4 linked regions of the Xenopus tropicalis genome follow. The protein of the gene in region 1 interacts with the protein of each later gene in a pairwise test. Links are inferred from orthologs where the notes say so. Each region holds a gene or a part of one and is shown in the gene's direction. Other genes may lie near its edges. The genes, in order: arhgef11, plxnb1, plxnb3 and plxnb2.

What was found.
Region 2: the proteins of arhgef11 (region 1) and plxnb1 interact in a two-hybrid assay, tested with the Homo sapiens proteins (2 studies listed by BioGRID). The link is inferred for Xenopus tropicalis from reciprocal best matches to the Homo sapiens genes ARHGEF11 and PLXNB1.
Region 3: the proteins of arhgef11 (region 1) and plxnb3 interact in a two-hybrid assay, tested with the Homo sapiens proteins (2 studies listed by BioGRID and IntAct). The link is inferred for Xenopus tropicalis from reciprocal best matches to the Homo sapiens genes ARHGEF11 and PLXNB3.
Region 4: the proteins of arhgef11 (region 1) and plxnb2 interact in a two-hybrid assay, tested with the Homo sapiens proteins (2 studies listed by BioGRID). The link is inferred for Xenopus tropicalis from reciprocal best matches to the Homo sapiens genes ARHGEF11 and PLXNB2.

Annotation. Positions count from the first base shown.
Region 1 is NC_030684.2:131,858,067-131,861,873, reverse strand, and holds part of arhgef11 (rho guanine nucleotide exchange factor 11), read left to right. Parts: intron 1-203; coding exon 204-385; intron 386-477; coding exon 478-549; intron 550-840; coding exon 841-960; intron 961-2,260; coding exon 2,261-2,315; intron 2,316-2,648; coding exon 2,649-2,725; intron 2,726-3,090; coding exon 3,091-3,246; intron 3,247-3,548; coding exon 3,549-3,620; intron 3,621-3,807. UniProt on the Homo sapiens protein: May play a role in the regulation of RhoA GTPase by guanine nucleotide-binding alpha-12 (GNA12) and alpha-13 (GNA13). Acts as guanine nucleotide exchange factor (GEF) for RhoA GTPase and may act as GTPase-activating protein (GAP) for GNA12 and GNA13.
Region 2 is NC_030680.2:139,214,292-139,218,098, reverse strand, and holds part of plxnb1 (plexin-B1), read left to right. Parts: intron 1-234; coding exon 235-335; intron 336-1,162; coding exon 1,163-1,380; intron 1,381-1,469; coding exon 1,470-1,648; intron 1,649-1,860; coding exon 1,861-1,927; intron 1,928-2,367; coding exon 2,368-2,514; intron 2,515-2,957; coding exon 2,958-3,135; intron 3,136-3,496; coding exon 3,497-3,600; intron 3,601-3,807. UniProt on the Homo sapiens protein: Receptor for SEMA4D. Plays a role in GABAergic synapse development. Mediates SEMA4A- and SEMA4D-dependent inhibitory synapse development. Plays a role in RHOA activation and subsequent changes of the actin cytoskeleton.
Region 3 is NC_030684.2:23,786,919-23,790,725, forward strand, and holds part of plxnb3 (plexin-B3), read left to right. Parts: intron 1-1,203; coding exon 1,204-1,318; intron 1,319-1,403; coding exon 1,404-1,517; intron 1,518-2,277; coding exon 2,278-2,400; intron 2,401-2,625; coding exon 2,626-2,719; intron 2,720-3,701; coding exon 3,702-3,807. UniProt on the Homo sapiens protein: Receptor for SEMA5A that plays a role in axon guidance, invasive growth and cell migration. Stimulates neurite outgrowth and mediates Ca(2+)/Mg(2+)-dependent cell aggregation.
Region 4 is NC_030679.2:71,409,166-71,413,582, forward strand, and holds the start of plxnb2 (plexin-B2), read left to right. Parts: upstream 1-1,543; 5' UTR 1,544-1,855; intron 1,856-4,417.

The DNA of each region.
Region 1 (3,807 bases):
TCAAACTATGTTGCCATAGTTAGCTCTCCTGTGGCCCAGACTTCAATTCCCAAAATGCCTTGCACACGTCTGTGAGTCTCCTTTTTTGACCAGGACAGGTTAAAGTTCCCTGTGCCAAGTCCCAAGGGGGAATATTAGTTAAAGGTGGTTTCATATATATCTTTATATTTAACCCCTGTTGTGCTGATGTTTCAATCCAACAGCCGGCGCTTATGTTGCTCTCACTCTCCTGGGTTCTCCGCCTCCATCCATGGGCATATCTGGGTATCCGCAAGACCTGAGCACCTCTGTGTCACCTCGTAACATATCAGTGTTGCCAATGCCACCTCCTCCGCCTCCACCTTTGCCCCAGATGCATCACATCACAGGACCTAAACCGCTACAGGTAATGTGCCATGTCCCTGCTCCCATTAAGTTCTACCCTGTCAGCTATATAAGACACAGTGTGATGGAATTTCGTTGTGATCACTTCTTTAGGACCCCGATTTCCAAAAGCACGCCACGGAAATCCTTTGGAACATGTTAAAGCAGGAGGAAGCGGATCTACAGGTAGGGTCTTGCAAGGGAACCTTGTATTACAGGCATAGTGCTAAACTGGACTTTGGAACAGGAAAGATTGCTTTGCAGCAGTGCTGTTTTCCAAGGATTTTAACTGAGTTATTTCTCGCTGTGAGTTTTCCCTGCACGCTCCACCTAGTGGCAGTAAATGGAATCTATTGAAAAGAACACGTGATATTGTAACTCTAAATAGAGTGACAGTGGGGCTGCTTGGCAACATTGGGTGCTATGTGGTTGGCATGTAGAAGGCTCAGATTAATAGATCATTCTATCTCTTGGCAGAATCTGTGTGATGTGTATAACAAAAGCCCTAACTCCAGCCTGCAGGAGCAGATAGAGAGGGCCAGGAAAAGGGTGCATCAGCTTCAGCATAAGATAAGGCAAGAAATCCCTGGTACTGGGGTAAGTACATAACATTTTTACTGCATGAACTACTCCCCAGGCACCCCCAAGTAAAACGCTACAGGAACGAAAAAGGATGATGATGTAGTGATACCTAAAACTCTTTTTATCCGTTCAAGTTGGCCATTTTGGCTTATTAATAATACCTGAAACTAATCTTTGCTTCCAAAGCGGAGTTGGTTGGTAGTTGGCCATTTTGACATGGTAATAATATTGATAATTTAACTCCATTGGCTCAGACCCATAACTACAATGTAATCTGGCCTTTTTATGCAACACCTAGTTACCCGTCCTGGGCCAGCCCTTTGTCTCACTGACAGAGCAGACTGAATGGAGACTTTACCATTATATCTGTTTCTTATTATTAATGTGTACGGTGCTTCAGCTAAGCCTCCTTATCTATTTCACTCTCATTGCTGAGTCCCTAGGCATTCCTAGCCCAAGTGCACTCCATGTTTATGAGCCCTTCAGATAAAGGTTATTGATCCCAAGAGTAAATCTAAGACTAATGCCACACTGGGCTGTATCTCAGTCCGGCATATGAGCACCAACTGAGAAATTGCCCCTCCACTGTCATCCACGCTCTTCCTCTGCCTGCATCCAGGGACATTGTGTCGGCCACACAGAGCGGACTTCAATGGGAAAATGCATACTTATGCATTTCAGCACCAAAATCTGCTCCGTGTGTCTTCAACCAGGCTGACACAATGCCTCTGGGTCAGAAACAGGAGAGAGATGGCAGGGGATCTGCTGATAAATGCAGGCGAGAATCAGCCGCTTGTGGTTTAAGCCTAAATCCCTGCCATAAGACAGGCTTGTGACTGCCAGAATGTAAATAGTGAGGCAGGTGAGTACCAGAAAATAGCTTTCCCCATGGTGGCATAAAAAGTGCCAATAACTTCTAAAGAAGTAAAACTTTGTTTCCCACATTACACTCATACCCCATAACAATGTGGAATATCATGTAATATTGGTTATGTAATAAAAGGCACTAAGTTTGCCCAGGAGCAGTAACCCATAGCAACCAGTCAGCTGGAAGCATATACTGGTCACCTGTTTAAAAGCAAACATTTTCTTGGTTGCTATAGGTTAATGCTTCTGGGCAAACTTAGCACCTTTTATTACATATGGGGGTTAGAATTCTGAAGACATTACCCCCTTTTTATCCAGCTCAACAAATGACCCTCTTGCCCAATTGTCTGTGAGAGCAGTGCCATCTACTGGTAGTTCCTCCATATTGACTAAATATGCTTTTCGCCTATGGATAGAAAATTAACAGGTGCGTTGATCTGTGTTGCAGGATTTGTTGCGCTCATACAGTGACTGCAGCTCTTTGGGGTACAAAGTCAAAGAAGGTGAGTTTGTTTGGGTAGATGGCTGTACAATGAGGCCGGCTTATTCCCAAAGATGACGTTTAATTTGGTTTATGCTGAAACAGGGGATAGCAGTTATATTGGATAGCTTCAAGAAAGGGTTGGATTACTGAAATGAGCCCTCTCAGTATAAAGACAGTCATGGGGCTGGTCCAATTGGCCTTTTGGAGTGGGGAAGGATTTTTTTCCGCTAGCATTTTTTACCTCTTTCTATAAATCACCTAGATGTTAGGTCAGGTTTAGTTGGACAGAAAGTTGAGCTTCATTAGACGTATATCTTTTCTTAACCTAAGCTTTTTTTTTTTTTTTTTTAAGGTCGCTTGTCTGTTGATTCCCAGGATGGAGACAGCGGTCTGGATTCCGGAACTGAACGGATATCATCGTTGAGTGAGGTGATACTGGCAGCCGCCATCCATTAGCTCCCTTTTTATGGAGGAATGGAGTGTGCTTATTTCTCTCCTCTGTGTGTAAAGGGTAACTTAACCTTTCCGTATGTCAGGAAATGATAAGGAACTACTTGTATATAACAAGGATGCATATTTACATTAACCTTACATTCATTTTTATCTTGAAGTGGGAGTGTTTAGCTTATTATATGCCATAAATACATTAAAGGTAGCAGCCATAATTGCTTGTCAGCATAGTGCATTACTGGGCTTGTACAGAGCTGGGTCCACACAGATCTGTTCCATGGAATCTGTTAGCAAAATGTCTTGCCTGTGGGTACGTAATGTTCTGTTCCTTATTCTTTTAACAGTATTCCATGAATCGGAATTCTGTCCTGTCGGACCTCGGAATGGACAGCTCCCACACCTCTCCAATCATCCCTACTAAACTGTTTCACCACCACTATCACCACCACCATCATCGGCGGCAGGGCTCAGACACTGCCTTTATTGCCACATCTGAGCAGGTAAGTTGGGATACATCTGATATAGTGTAATGTGTTTTCTGGGAGGTATAGTTTATGTTACCAAAGGATTCTGGGGGAGAAATCTGGTTAAGACCCCCTCCATTTTGATAATTATATTGGTGAGAACAAATGTATTTATTCAGCTCGTTATAATGACCTTACAAGAGTGGATCGGACATCAGGGCACTAGGAACCCTGTCCTGAACACAGGAAATATTTACATTACTTTCCTTTAGCCAGGATTAAATATAAATTATCAGAGGAAATCGGGTCTGAATATTTTATCATCTTATTTTTTCCAGGTATCAGATCCCATGAAGTCTACAATAATCTGCCCAGAAGAGGACTACGACCATGGATATTACATGACAGAGGTATAACCAGATAACAAGCCTGTCTGCCCTCTCCTCCTGGTTTATAAAAGGGCACTTAAGCTTTTTCATGATTGTTTATATTAAAATGTTAATGACACTGCAGAGCTTTAATACCCAGTTTACAATTAGGGGGCTGTGTACTATTTATCCGCCATTAAACAGAAGCCCTCCTCTTGTACTTTTTCCC
Region 2 (3,807 bases), on another chromosome or scaffold:
TTTCAGCAGCTATTTTGTTGCTAGGGTCCAAATTACCTTAGCAACTGGGGAGTGGTTTGAATGAGAGACTAAATTATTTCTAGGAGAGGACCTGAATAGAAAAATATGTTATATAAATAATGAAGACCAACTGCAAAGTTGATTTAGAATGGCCTTATTAGGGCCATAGTAAGTCTTTAGCACTGTCATGGTAACGGAACAAATTATCTAAATATTCAGGGTTTTCTTTTCCAGGCGGAAGAGCAAGCAGGCCCTGCGGGATTACAAGAAAGTCCAAATCCAATTGGAGAACCTGGAAACTAGTGTCAGAGATCGCTGCAAGAAGGAATTCACAGGTACAGACTAACATGATAGGCCGGCACTGCTCATAGTTATTAGGGTGAAATGAATATCTCTAGCATGGAGCTGTATATATTGTAAAAATATTTCCAACAAATTGACAGAATCTAAAATATACTGGAGCTTAGTGTTTCAATTTTGAAAGTTGATATACAGCTAGACATCTTCTTAGTTTCCTATGTGCCTATAGTGGATCTCGATCTCATGCTTTAGTAGCATCCATGTATAGCAGTGATCCCCAAATAGTGGCTCAGGGGCAACATGTTGCTCCCCAACCCCTTGGATGTTGCTCTCAGTGCCCCCAAACCAGGGAGTTATTTCTGAGCAAGTTTTGGTTGAATAAAAACAAGATTTCCTACCAAATAAAGCCCCTGTAAGCTGATAGGGTGCATAGAGGCCCCTAATAGCCAATCACAGCCCTTATTTGGCTCCTCCATGAACTTTTATGGTGCTTGTGTTGCTCCCCAAGTCTTTTTATATTTGACTGTGGCTCACGAGTAAGGAAGGTTTGGGACCCCTGATGTATAGAGGCCATTCCTTCTCTGTAAATGTGCAGCTACACATAGTGAAAGACTGACCATGTTGGGTCTCTTAGCTGATCCATATCTTTATCGTGGCCTAGTGGGCAGGAATCGGCTGCACTTCTCTTCTGAGTCCTAAGCAGATTGTCATGTATGAATGATGGCAGCCATCACATAGGAATCCAAATATACACATTGATGGTTTGGGAAGTGGGTTTTTGTTTTCCCTCCTTGTTGCTATAGCCAAGCTTACTTAGATAATAAGTGTAAGTGACAATGCTGTGACTGCTTCTCTCTTGTAGACTTGATGACAGAGATGATGGACCTTACAAGTGACTTGGTGGGCACCGGGATCCCATTCCTGGATTACAAATCATACGCAGAGAGGATTTTCTTCCCTGGTCACCGCGAGTCGCCATTGCAGAGAGACTTGGATGTCCCAGAAGGCCGGCGCCAGACAGTAGAACAGGGCTTGGTCCAGCTCTCCAACCTTCTGAACAGCAAGCTCTTTCTTACCAAGGTATGCAAGCGTTACTCTCTCCTGGGTATCATTTAGTTTCATTACGCTCTGCTAATTTATTCCAATTTAATCTTCAATTTATATTTTAGTTTATTCACACCCTGGAAAGCCAACGCACATTTTCAGCAAGAGACCGTGCCTACGTGGCATCTCTCCTAACTGTATCTCTGCATGGGAAGCTGGAATACTTCACTGACATCTTAAAGACCCTCCTGAATGATCTGGTGGAACAGTATGTGGCCAAGAACCCAAAGCTGATGCTTAGAAGGTAGAGACTGGAATACTTTGTACTTTTGTCTTATGATGCTGTTTCCCACTATAGCGATCCAGAAGACACAAGGCTTTGGTAGTTCCTCTGCCGAGTAAAAATGATGTATTAGTCTAGATAAAGAAAGGTTACCCATTTAGGTTATGCAATACTTAGAGAAGACAGACTGGTTGGGTTTCTGATGTTCTTATCTATGGACCTCTTTGTTCTAGGACAGAGACAGTGGTGGAGAAGCTGCTGACCAACTGGATGTCCATCTGTCTATATACGTTTGTGAGGGTAAGTAGCGAGTGCTAGGTATTGGATACATACTTTATCTTTTGGTAGATTGAGTACCAGTTCTACTTTGTAAAGGTCCCCATACACGGGCCGATAGTAGCTGCCGATATCGGTCCCGTGTATGGGCACTTCCGACGGGCCTGCCCGACCGATATCTGGCCTGATACGGTGCCGGACCGACTTTACCTATGCCCATCATTATAATTCGATCGTTTGGACCCAGGGCCAAACGATCGAATTACACTGGATTCTACCGATATCACCCACCCGTATGCCAAGCGAGCGGATCTGCCAGTGTATGGGGACCTTAACTCTGAGATTCCACCTTCCCACAGGGGTCCGGACAATATTGCACTTTTAATGTTTACAAACACTATCTACAAGTTGATAAGCTGTGTATTGGCAAGGTCACCTTAGTCACTGTTGTATTCTTATGGCAGGATTCAGCTGGAGAACCACTTTATATGTTGTTCCGTGGGATAAAGCACCAGGTGGATAAAGGACCAGTGGACTGTGTGACGGGGAAGGCTAAGTACACTCTGAATGACAACCGCCTCCTGAGGGATGATGTAGAATACAAAACTCTGGTGAGTTGTTGGGGTGGCTTCCTATTGTGGACATTAAGGGTGCTCTGTGCTCAAAGTAGGGGCCATGGTAAGCAGTATCTTGTCCCCTTTGTCCCAATCGTTTTATTGGGCCTTAAGTCACAAATCTATTCTGATGGTGGCCATAGATAAGTGTCTAATCCAACATGGTCTTCTCAGCAAGGTCACTAAATTCCCTGAGTATCCGCATAAAGTTAATTCCTTATGTCACTTACACTTGTGGGGAATTAATAAACAGCGGGGGAAGGGGGTCATTATTTCTATTCCTTTGCATATTTTTGTTTTCATGTATGTTACGTCAGATGATTGGTCTGAGCTTCTAGCTGGTTGGCTCCTATAAGTTGCTAGTTCAGAGTAAAATAGTGAATTTTTCCAGTGGTACGTAGATGACATTTTGGGTGCACTTAAACATTATTCCTTCCCAGACGCTGAATGCAATCATGCAAACCAACACGGGCATCACTTGTGAAGAGGAAGCACAAGGGTTGCCGGTGAAATTGCTCGACTGCGACACCATCACTCAAGTGAAAGAAAAGATCCTTGACCAGATATACAAGGGAACCCCGTACTGTAATCGACCAAACCCCGAAGCGCTAGACTTGGGTAAGTCAGGTTGTCCATAGGGAGGGGAAATCTTTAGTAGTGCTGGAACCCAGGGCAAGACAGACTATGAGTGGCACCGTTATTTATATAAAATAATGCCTTCAGCCTTTGATAGCCGCCCTCTTACAGCCATCAACTTGAAAGCAGAGAGAAATGGTATATCTGGCAGAGCTATGGAGTCAGAGTTGCCAAGTCGGAGTCGGAAGCAATTTTAGGTACCTGGATTTGAAGTCAGAGTCAAAGGATTTATGTACCAACTCCACAGCCCTGATATCGGGAGGGGGATTTGTTTTCCTAGCTGTCCCAACAGTTACCAGCTTATAACCATCCTTACACCCTTTCCTCCCGTTCCCCCTGGCAGAATGGAGATCAGGGTTGGCCGGTCATCTGATACTTTCCGATGAAGATCTGACGTCAGTGGTGCATGGGTCGTGGAAAAGAGTGAACACATTGCAACATTACAAGGTGAGACTTTGCACAGGGAGGTCTTCTGCTTGTAGCACCTAGAACACCTAGAACCTACTGCATTACTGGGACTGTATCCCCCCTAACCAGTGGGTAAGGGATTTATATTTATGTTAGTACATGCATGTTCCCCCTCAGTATCTGAACTGGCAGTTTGAGGGCTAAAAAAAATCCCCTTCCTTAACCTCTCTAAAAGATAAGGTGCAT
Region 3 (3,807 bases), about 110 Mb from region 1:
ATGTCTACTAGTTATACTATTTATATTCCATTAGCGGTGCGTCAAATCCACTTTTTCGTCTGAACCCTGGATCCTTCGTGAGAAATTTGGCCGGATACTGAACTGAACCGAATCCTAATTTGCACAAAAAAATTTTTAACTTCTGTATTTACATGTCAAGCCACATCATTTTAAGGATTCAGTTTGCCAGGAGCATGGATTTGGCCAAATCTTGCCAAAAAAGGCTGAATCCTGGATTTGGTGCATCCCTAGTCTCCATACATATATGTCAGTATGATCTGATTGGCTGTTTTCAAAAACCTGTGTGAAGCCACTGAGCCACTGAGCTACGTCAGTCCTGTAATTTTCTATTCAGAGAAGGGAAGTGAGGTGTGCAAGAGTAACTGACGCCCCCAGGGAATACCAGCATATACAAGAGCTTGTTTCAGTAAATGGATTTTGCAACTAAGTCACACACAGTGTTCCATTCACATGTTCTCAATGGATGGGACCATGGTCTGGGTTTGCACAGAGTCACTATAAGTGAAGCTGTGGGGCAAACTATTTGCAGATCAGGCCCGGACTGGCAATCCATGGATTCGGGGCTGCTGTAAGACGCCATAGGCAGTCACTAATTTTTCGGCTGGTGGGGTCAGTTTGGACCTTGTGCACTGGAAATGCCCGAGCCTGTTTTGAATCTCAATCTGGGCCTGATGCAAATAAACCCAACGTGTGTTTTAGGGGAAATTTATGCCAAGGTAGCAATATTTTGAATATATATACACCTTGTTATTAGATGAGGAAGCTGATCCTCACATTCGGTTGCATTCGGACTCCTGTGAAACACTGCTTCTCACTACTCTGATCATTTCATTATTAACTAGCAGCGCAAAACAGAGCCAACTAAACCAGATAATAACCACAAAAATGGAAACTAGAGAAATAAATAGGGAATGTTTTATTCCTGGCACATCTCATGCTCATTGAAAGCACTAGTCATTGATGCGGGTACAGGATCCCTTACCTGGAAATCCATTATCTAGAAAGCTCAGAATTACAGGAAGGTCCTCACCCATGCACTCGATTATAACCAATTTCTAATTAGGTCATTCTATAACATGTGCAATCGACTGTTCCAAACTTACGATGCATTTGCAGATTTTGTGATTTTCAACTAAATAGATATTTAAAGTAAATGTTTAATGAAATGATTTGTGCCTGTAGGTGTGCCGGATGTGTAAATAGCCAGTGGGAATGCCACTGGTGCGTGAATGATTATCGCTGCATTCATGATACACAAAACTGCAGCCAAGACCAAGTGATCATATTCAACCAAAGAGTAAGAAGTAGCTGGCGCGCACATAAACACATTATAGATGTGGTAACTTTATAATATGTACACTTACCCATCTCTTTGATTCCAGCTGGGTGGTCCTGATGCTTGCCCAAGAATAGAGAGTGTTGATGGGTCGACATTGATCCCTGTTGGGGTTGAGAGAGAACTGGATCTTATTGGACGTAATTTACAACTACTTAAGGTGGGTTAACAGCAATGGCTTTACTTTTACATAAACCAAAGCCATGGACAAAAGGGTGTTATGTACAGGCTAATTGCTCTTCAGATCAGTGGTCTTCAACCAGTGGCTCCCAAGCAACATATTTCTCACCAAGGCTTTGAATGTTGCTCCCAGTGGCCTCAAAGAAGGTGCTTATTTTTGTATTTCTGGCTTGGAGGCAAGTTTTAGTTGCATAAGGACCAGGTGTACTGCAAAACAGAGCCTCCTGTCCACATAGGGGCTGCCAAATAGCCATTCACAGCCCTTATTTGGCACCCCAGGTATATTTTGTCATGCTTTCATGTTGCTTCCCAATTCTTTTTACATTTGATTGTGGCTCATGGGTAAGAAAGTTTTGGGACCCCTGTCTTAGATAAACTGAATATCATCCATTACCCCCAACAACCACAGTCCCCCAGTAACTAAATTAAAATTGAAATGTTAGAATGTTTGATCGGCTTTTCAGAGGAAATAGGACATGGAATTTACTTTCCTGTTCCTTTAACAAATAATTATGTGGTGTGATTTGAATGGCCTGTTTATTAACTTTAAATTGCCACATTGTAGCTCCAATAGGCCCTCTAATTTTCTGGGTTCCACAGCAGTCACAGGGTCTGCTTTTTGCATGCTTTTGAAGACTCATCCCTAGCAAGTAATACTTGGCTGTGAAGGAGCTATGCCTGAGACTTGTGTCTCCAAATTTTGCCATGTCGGTCAGTCAATTGTTCTGTCTTTCCTGCAGGAGGAGGTTCTAGGTTATAGCTGTGTGATTGATGCCCATGGCACCACAACAACGCTGCCTGCACAAATTGAGAATGTGACTGGAGAAAAAGATGTTTTTCAAGTGCACTGCCAGACACACAAGGTGGGTAGGGAATAGCATAGTACTGTATAGATGGACAAGGCTGTAACATTGTGAATCGGAATATGCCAAATCCTTGATTCAGTTTGGGATTTGGCAAAGTGTGAGTGCCTGGCTCGACCTAATCCATACCTTTTGAATAACCATTATTGAGCAAGTGACCATTTTATGTTATAGTGGATAATCTGGATAATAATATATTCAAAATATTTTATATCATATTTATAGTTTGAGTATTCATTACGTACGCTGGAGCATCAGGTTACCATTTATGTTATGACGGGCGATGGCCATCGAGTGGATGATAAAGAAGACATTCAGGGTATGTCCACTTGCTTTATTCTCAAAGGGGCTCTCTGTCTCTGTTTCTGTTGCTCTGCATACATTTGTCATAGTACCAAGTCACTTTATTTGACTCCTCCTTTCCCACAGTGGCTCTGTATAACTCTTTCTTCCCCTTGGTGGCATTGTATGACTCTTCCTTTCCCATAGTGGCTCTGTATGACTCTTCCCTTTCCCATAGTGGCTCTGTATGACTTTTCCTTTCCCATAGTGGCTCTGTATGACTCTTCCTTTCCCATAGTGGCTCTGTATGACTCTTCCCTTTCCCATAGTGGCTCTGTATGACTCTTCCTTTCCCATAGTGGCTCTGTATGACTCTTCCTTTCCCATAGTAGCTCTGTATGACTCTTCATTTCCCCATAGTGGCATTGTATGACTTTTCCTTTCCCATAGTGGCTCTGTATGACTCTTCCTTTCCCATAGGGGCTCTGTATGACTCTTCCTTTCCCATAGGGGCTCTGTATGACTCTTCCTTTCCCATAGTGGCTCTGTATGACTCTTCCTTTCCCATAGTGGCTCTGTATGACTCTTCCTTTCCCATAGTGGCTCTGTATGACTCTTCCTTTCCCATAGTGGCTCTGTATGACTCTTCCCTTTCCCATAGTGGCTCTGTATGACTCTTCCTTTCCCATAGTAGCTCTGTATGACTCTTCCTTTCCCATAGTGGCTCTGTATGACTCTTCCTTTCCCATAGTGGCTCTGTATGACTCTTCCTTTCCCATAGTGGCTCTGTATGACTCTTCCCTTTCCATAGTGGCTCTGTATGACTCTTCATTTCCCATAGTGGCATTGTATGACTCTTCCTTTCCCATAGTGGCTCTGTATGACTCTTCCTTTCCCATAGTGACTCTGTATGACTCTTACTTTCCCATATTGGTTCTATATGACTCTTCCCATAATGGGCCTATATAACTCTTCTTTCTTATGGTGGTTCTGTATACCTTCTTTTTTTCTGTTTTTAGTGGTTTTGTACAACTGCTCAGTTGGACAGTCTGACTGCAGTCGCTGTCAAGCCTTGCATAATCAGTACAACTGTGTGTGGTGCACCAAGATGGAAGGTGAAGCCTG
Region 4 (4,417 bases), on another chromosome or scaffold:
GTGCAGGGATTGGCAGAGTGGCACGGCAGAGGAGGAGCGGTTGGAGAGGTGTATGAGCCTGGCAGCAGTATTCATTATGGACTGGAGAGGGGACAGTCTTTGGAGGGGAAGGCCAATTAATAGGGAGTTACAGTAGTCCAGGCGAGATATTATAAGAGTGTGAATAAGAATTTTGGCAGCATCTTGGGTGATAAATGATCGTATTTTGGAGATATTTCTTAGGTGAAAGTGACATGATTTGATAAGTGATTGGATATGAGGAGTGAAGGACAGGGCAGAATCAAGGATAACCCCAAGGCACCGGGCCTGGGAAGATGGGGTGATGGTAGAATTGTTAACCTTTATAGATACCTCGGGAACAATGTGGGCATTGGATGGGGGAAAGAGAACCAGTTCAGTCTTAGAGAGGTTTAGTTTAAGGTAACGTTGGGACATCCAAGTGGATATAGCGGCCAGGCAGGAAGAGACGCGAGTTAGAAGCTCTGGGTTGAGATCAGGAGAGGAAAGATATATCTGAGTATCATCAGCATAGAGGTGGTAGTGAAAGCCAAAAGAATTGATTAGTTTGCCAAGTGAGGAGGTATAGAGAGAAAATAGTAAGGGGCCCAGGACAGAGCCTTGGGAAACTCCGACAGAAAGAGGCAGGGGAGAAGATGATTCCCCATTGTAAGAGACACTGAAGGATCGATCTGAGAGATAAGATGAAAACCAGGATAAGGCAGTGTCACGAAGGCCAAGAGAGCAGAGAGTCTGGAGGAGAAGAGGGTGATCTACAGTGTCAAAAGCAGCAGAGAGATCGAGAAGTATTAGTAACGAGTAGTGTTTTTTGGCTTTAGCCGATAGGAGGTCATTTGTTAGTCGGGTTAGCGCAGTTTCGGTGGAGTGTTGTTGTCTAAAACCAGATTGTAGGGGATCCAGGAGGTTTTGTTATAGAGGAATAGCATCAGTCGGTTGTAAACTAGGCACTCAAGCAGTTTGGAGATGAATGGGGGCAGAGAGATCTCCCCGAAATGCCATCCCATCGGCTAGAATGTAAATCGCTGGTGGGATGGCATACCCGGCGCCGCGATTTGCCGGGTCGCTGAAGTTTCCTCTCAAGGCAACTTCGGCAAATTGAGGCGCCGCGTATGCCATCCCACCAGCAATTTACATTCTAGCTGGTGGGATGGTGACTAATCTCTCGGTGTGTCACAGCCCCTAAAAAGACATTTACAATTATTTTGACGTGCAGCTTTATCCTTATATAAATGTATGATGGGGTTCCTTTGAAAGGGAGTATTTTCTAACACAAACTCATTAATGATAGACTATTTGCCATTGGCAAAAGCAGTGAAAATGAGGCGAATAAGTCGGAGCGCAATGCCAGTTCAGGGCCATAGGTTGGATATATTTAGAACAGGCTATTGTAGCTATTGAAAAAGAATGCCTGTTGGAATTCCATCAAAGCCAGTCATAGCCCATGGCTATTGCCTAGTGGCCAGTGAAATTCCTTCGCACTCCTCCCAATCCAGTGCCTCTGGCACCCCCTCCCATTCCTTGAGAGCTCCCAGGCAGTCTGAAATCCGATCCTCCGCAGCCGGCTCAGAGGGGAGGACTCTCTCCCTGTTATTCTGCCTTTTTTTTCCTGCTTCCTGTTTCTGGTATTGTGCTGGGGAGCGGATGTGCGCAGCGCCCACAGGTGTGTCTCCTCTCGGCGCTCAGTGCTAGGGAGTCGGCTGGGAAGGACTGTGCGAGGCTGATATGGACACAGTGAGGGCCGGGGGGTCGGGGCGCGGAGCCGCACTACATTTCTCTCAGCGTCTCCATTAAGTCCGGGAAAGCCGCGGGAAGCGGAGCCTAGCAGGAGACTTGTTGGGTGAGTTCCTCCCAAATTCCGCTCTTATTTTTAGGCTATCTTGTCATAGCACCTGTTGGCCGGAGAGTGGGGCAGCGCTGTGCTGGACATTCTCCACTCAGTCACCTTCCTTCCAGCTCATCTGTGCTAAGTTTTAGCGCTGGGTGTCTGGGCGGGGGGAGTGGCCGGGCTCCTTTGGACTGGGGATTAGCGATCAGTCTTATCAAAGTGACCCCTTCCAGCTTTAATGGAAACCTGTGAACTTGGGAAGGAGGTAAGAGGCGCTGTCCCACCCGCAGGGTTCTGTGGGAGCGGGAGTAGCATGGGGTGCCACAGACTGGGAGCTCCTTTCCCACGGTTACATCCACGCACCACACCACCTGCCTTGGGAGTTACCTGATTCATAAAATCTATTTCAGGAATGTGCTGACACTTCTGCTTTGTTTCAAATAATAGCAAAGTCAATGTACAGTTGTTTGCTCTTCAGCTTAGGATCATTTTAGTTCAGGCTTGTTCATACTGGATATTGCATGGCTGCTATTGTTTGTACAGTAGAGAAACATCAGTGGCTTGTAGAAGCTGGGATTGTATGGAAGGAACAGCAGACTAAAATGTGATAGAACAGCTGTTTATTTGCAGAGAGATAGATACAAATGATCATGCAGCTAGTGTTTATAGACTTCATTATGTGTTATTTATTGGGATCACTTCATTTAAAACACATCTGCTAATTCTCTGCATGTTATTGCTATTGACATGATGGCTTTGTATTGTTAATTCTTAGAATGAACTCCATGTTCCAGTTTAACCCTACAAGTTGGAGCTTGCCCCTGTCTGGCAGAAGCTACAGCTCAAATTGCTGTCATTGCATTGAGCATTCTGACAGTAGCTAACAAGTAAGATTAAGTTTGATGTCCTGGAAAGGTTGGGGACTACTGATTCCTTGATTCACTGCTGTTCTCTTGTTTGCAGATGTTTCATGCAGGCTAACGGCTAACAGGATTGCTGTTAGGTTTTATAATGTAACATTTTGTGAGATGTGTAAAAGCTTGGGCTCATGTTGTCCATTCTTTGTGTTGCAGGTTCCCATTTTTTATGTTTCTGGTGGTTTATTGGTTTCAAGTAAATACAGTTAATGGAATTAAACAGTAAATATTTGTTTGTGTTGAGTGTATAGGGTGTTCCTAAATGTAGCAGCAAGGGAAGTTGCAGGCCTTTGTGGCCCTTTTCTTGCTTTTTGAATGTGCTGTGTATGCATCTTCACTGTTTTACACTTAACAAATATTGTTTGGCCTAGCACTGGATGTCCAAATGGCAAATTTGTTTGGGTTCACCATAATCTATAACCTTACTATCTTAGGCCATTTAGTTGTCCTTGCAGTTACCTGCTCACCAGCAGTAATTATGCAATTGTGTCTCGTATACATGGTTTTGAGGATTATTATTGCATGATATTCTATGTAGACATATGAAATGTAACTAGGCACTTTTAAAAATAAGGGTTCTGTTGTGTTGTTTGAAGACATTCTTGCAGACGGTCTGAGCTGTCACAGGGTGACATGAATAGGCCTTATGGCAGCATTAGCATGGTAAAGTAAATACTCTATAGATAGTGCTTTCTTTTAGTTTCACTTTGGGTGGTGAGGAAGAACAGTAGTTGATCATTACATGAGTGTGGGCTGAAAGCTCTATTTTCAGAAGTCCAGTATCCAAATCATGAATGCAGGCGCAAACACAGAACACAATAAATCAGTTCTACAGTGCAGTTACATTTTGTACTAAACTATTAATGCAAATACCAAAAACTGAATTACAAAGTGGACATTTCCTATATATGAACACACTGTACACAAAGTACCATCAGGCTTTTATGTCATTTTATGTTTATTGAAGATTTAAGGCATCACACAGAAGCACTGTTTAAAGCAGTGATCCCCAACCAGTGACTCAAGAGCAGCATGTTGCTCTCAGTGCCCCTAAACCAGGTAGTTATTTTTGAATTCCTGACTTGGTGGCAAGTTTTGGTTGAATAAAAACAAGATTTACTACCAAATAAATCCTCCTGTAAGCTGAGTGTGTGCTAGAGGCTACCTAATAGCCTGTCTTAGCCCTTATCTGGCCCTCCATGAACTGATGCTTGTGTTGCTGTCTAAAGCTGGCCATACACGTGGCGATCTGACGATGTTTCGTGCGACCAACGGTCGCACGAAACATCGTCAGATCCGCCACACACCATTCAGGGCTGAATCGGCAGGTAAGGAGGTAGAAACAATAGGATTTCTACCTCCTTCTGCCGATTCAGCGCTGAAGGGAGAATTTTGGTCAGGCGCCTTCTATGGCGCCCGATCAAAATTTTCAAACTGGTCCGATCGGCGAGTCGACGATATCAGCAGCTTCCTGCGGTTTCGTACGATATTATCGGTGCGTGTATGGCCACCTTAAGTCTTTTTGCATTTGACTGTGGCTCATGAGTAAGAAAGGTTGGGGACTCCTGGTTTAAAGCTAAGGTTCTTTATCAAGCCTGTAAATTAACGTTGGCCCCATGCATAGATGACTCAATTATTTAAGACAAAATGTTCACTG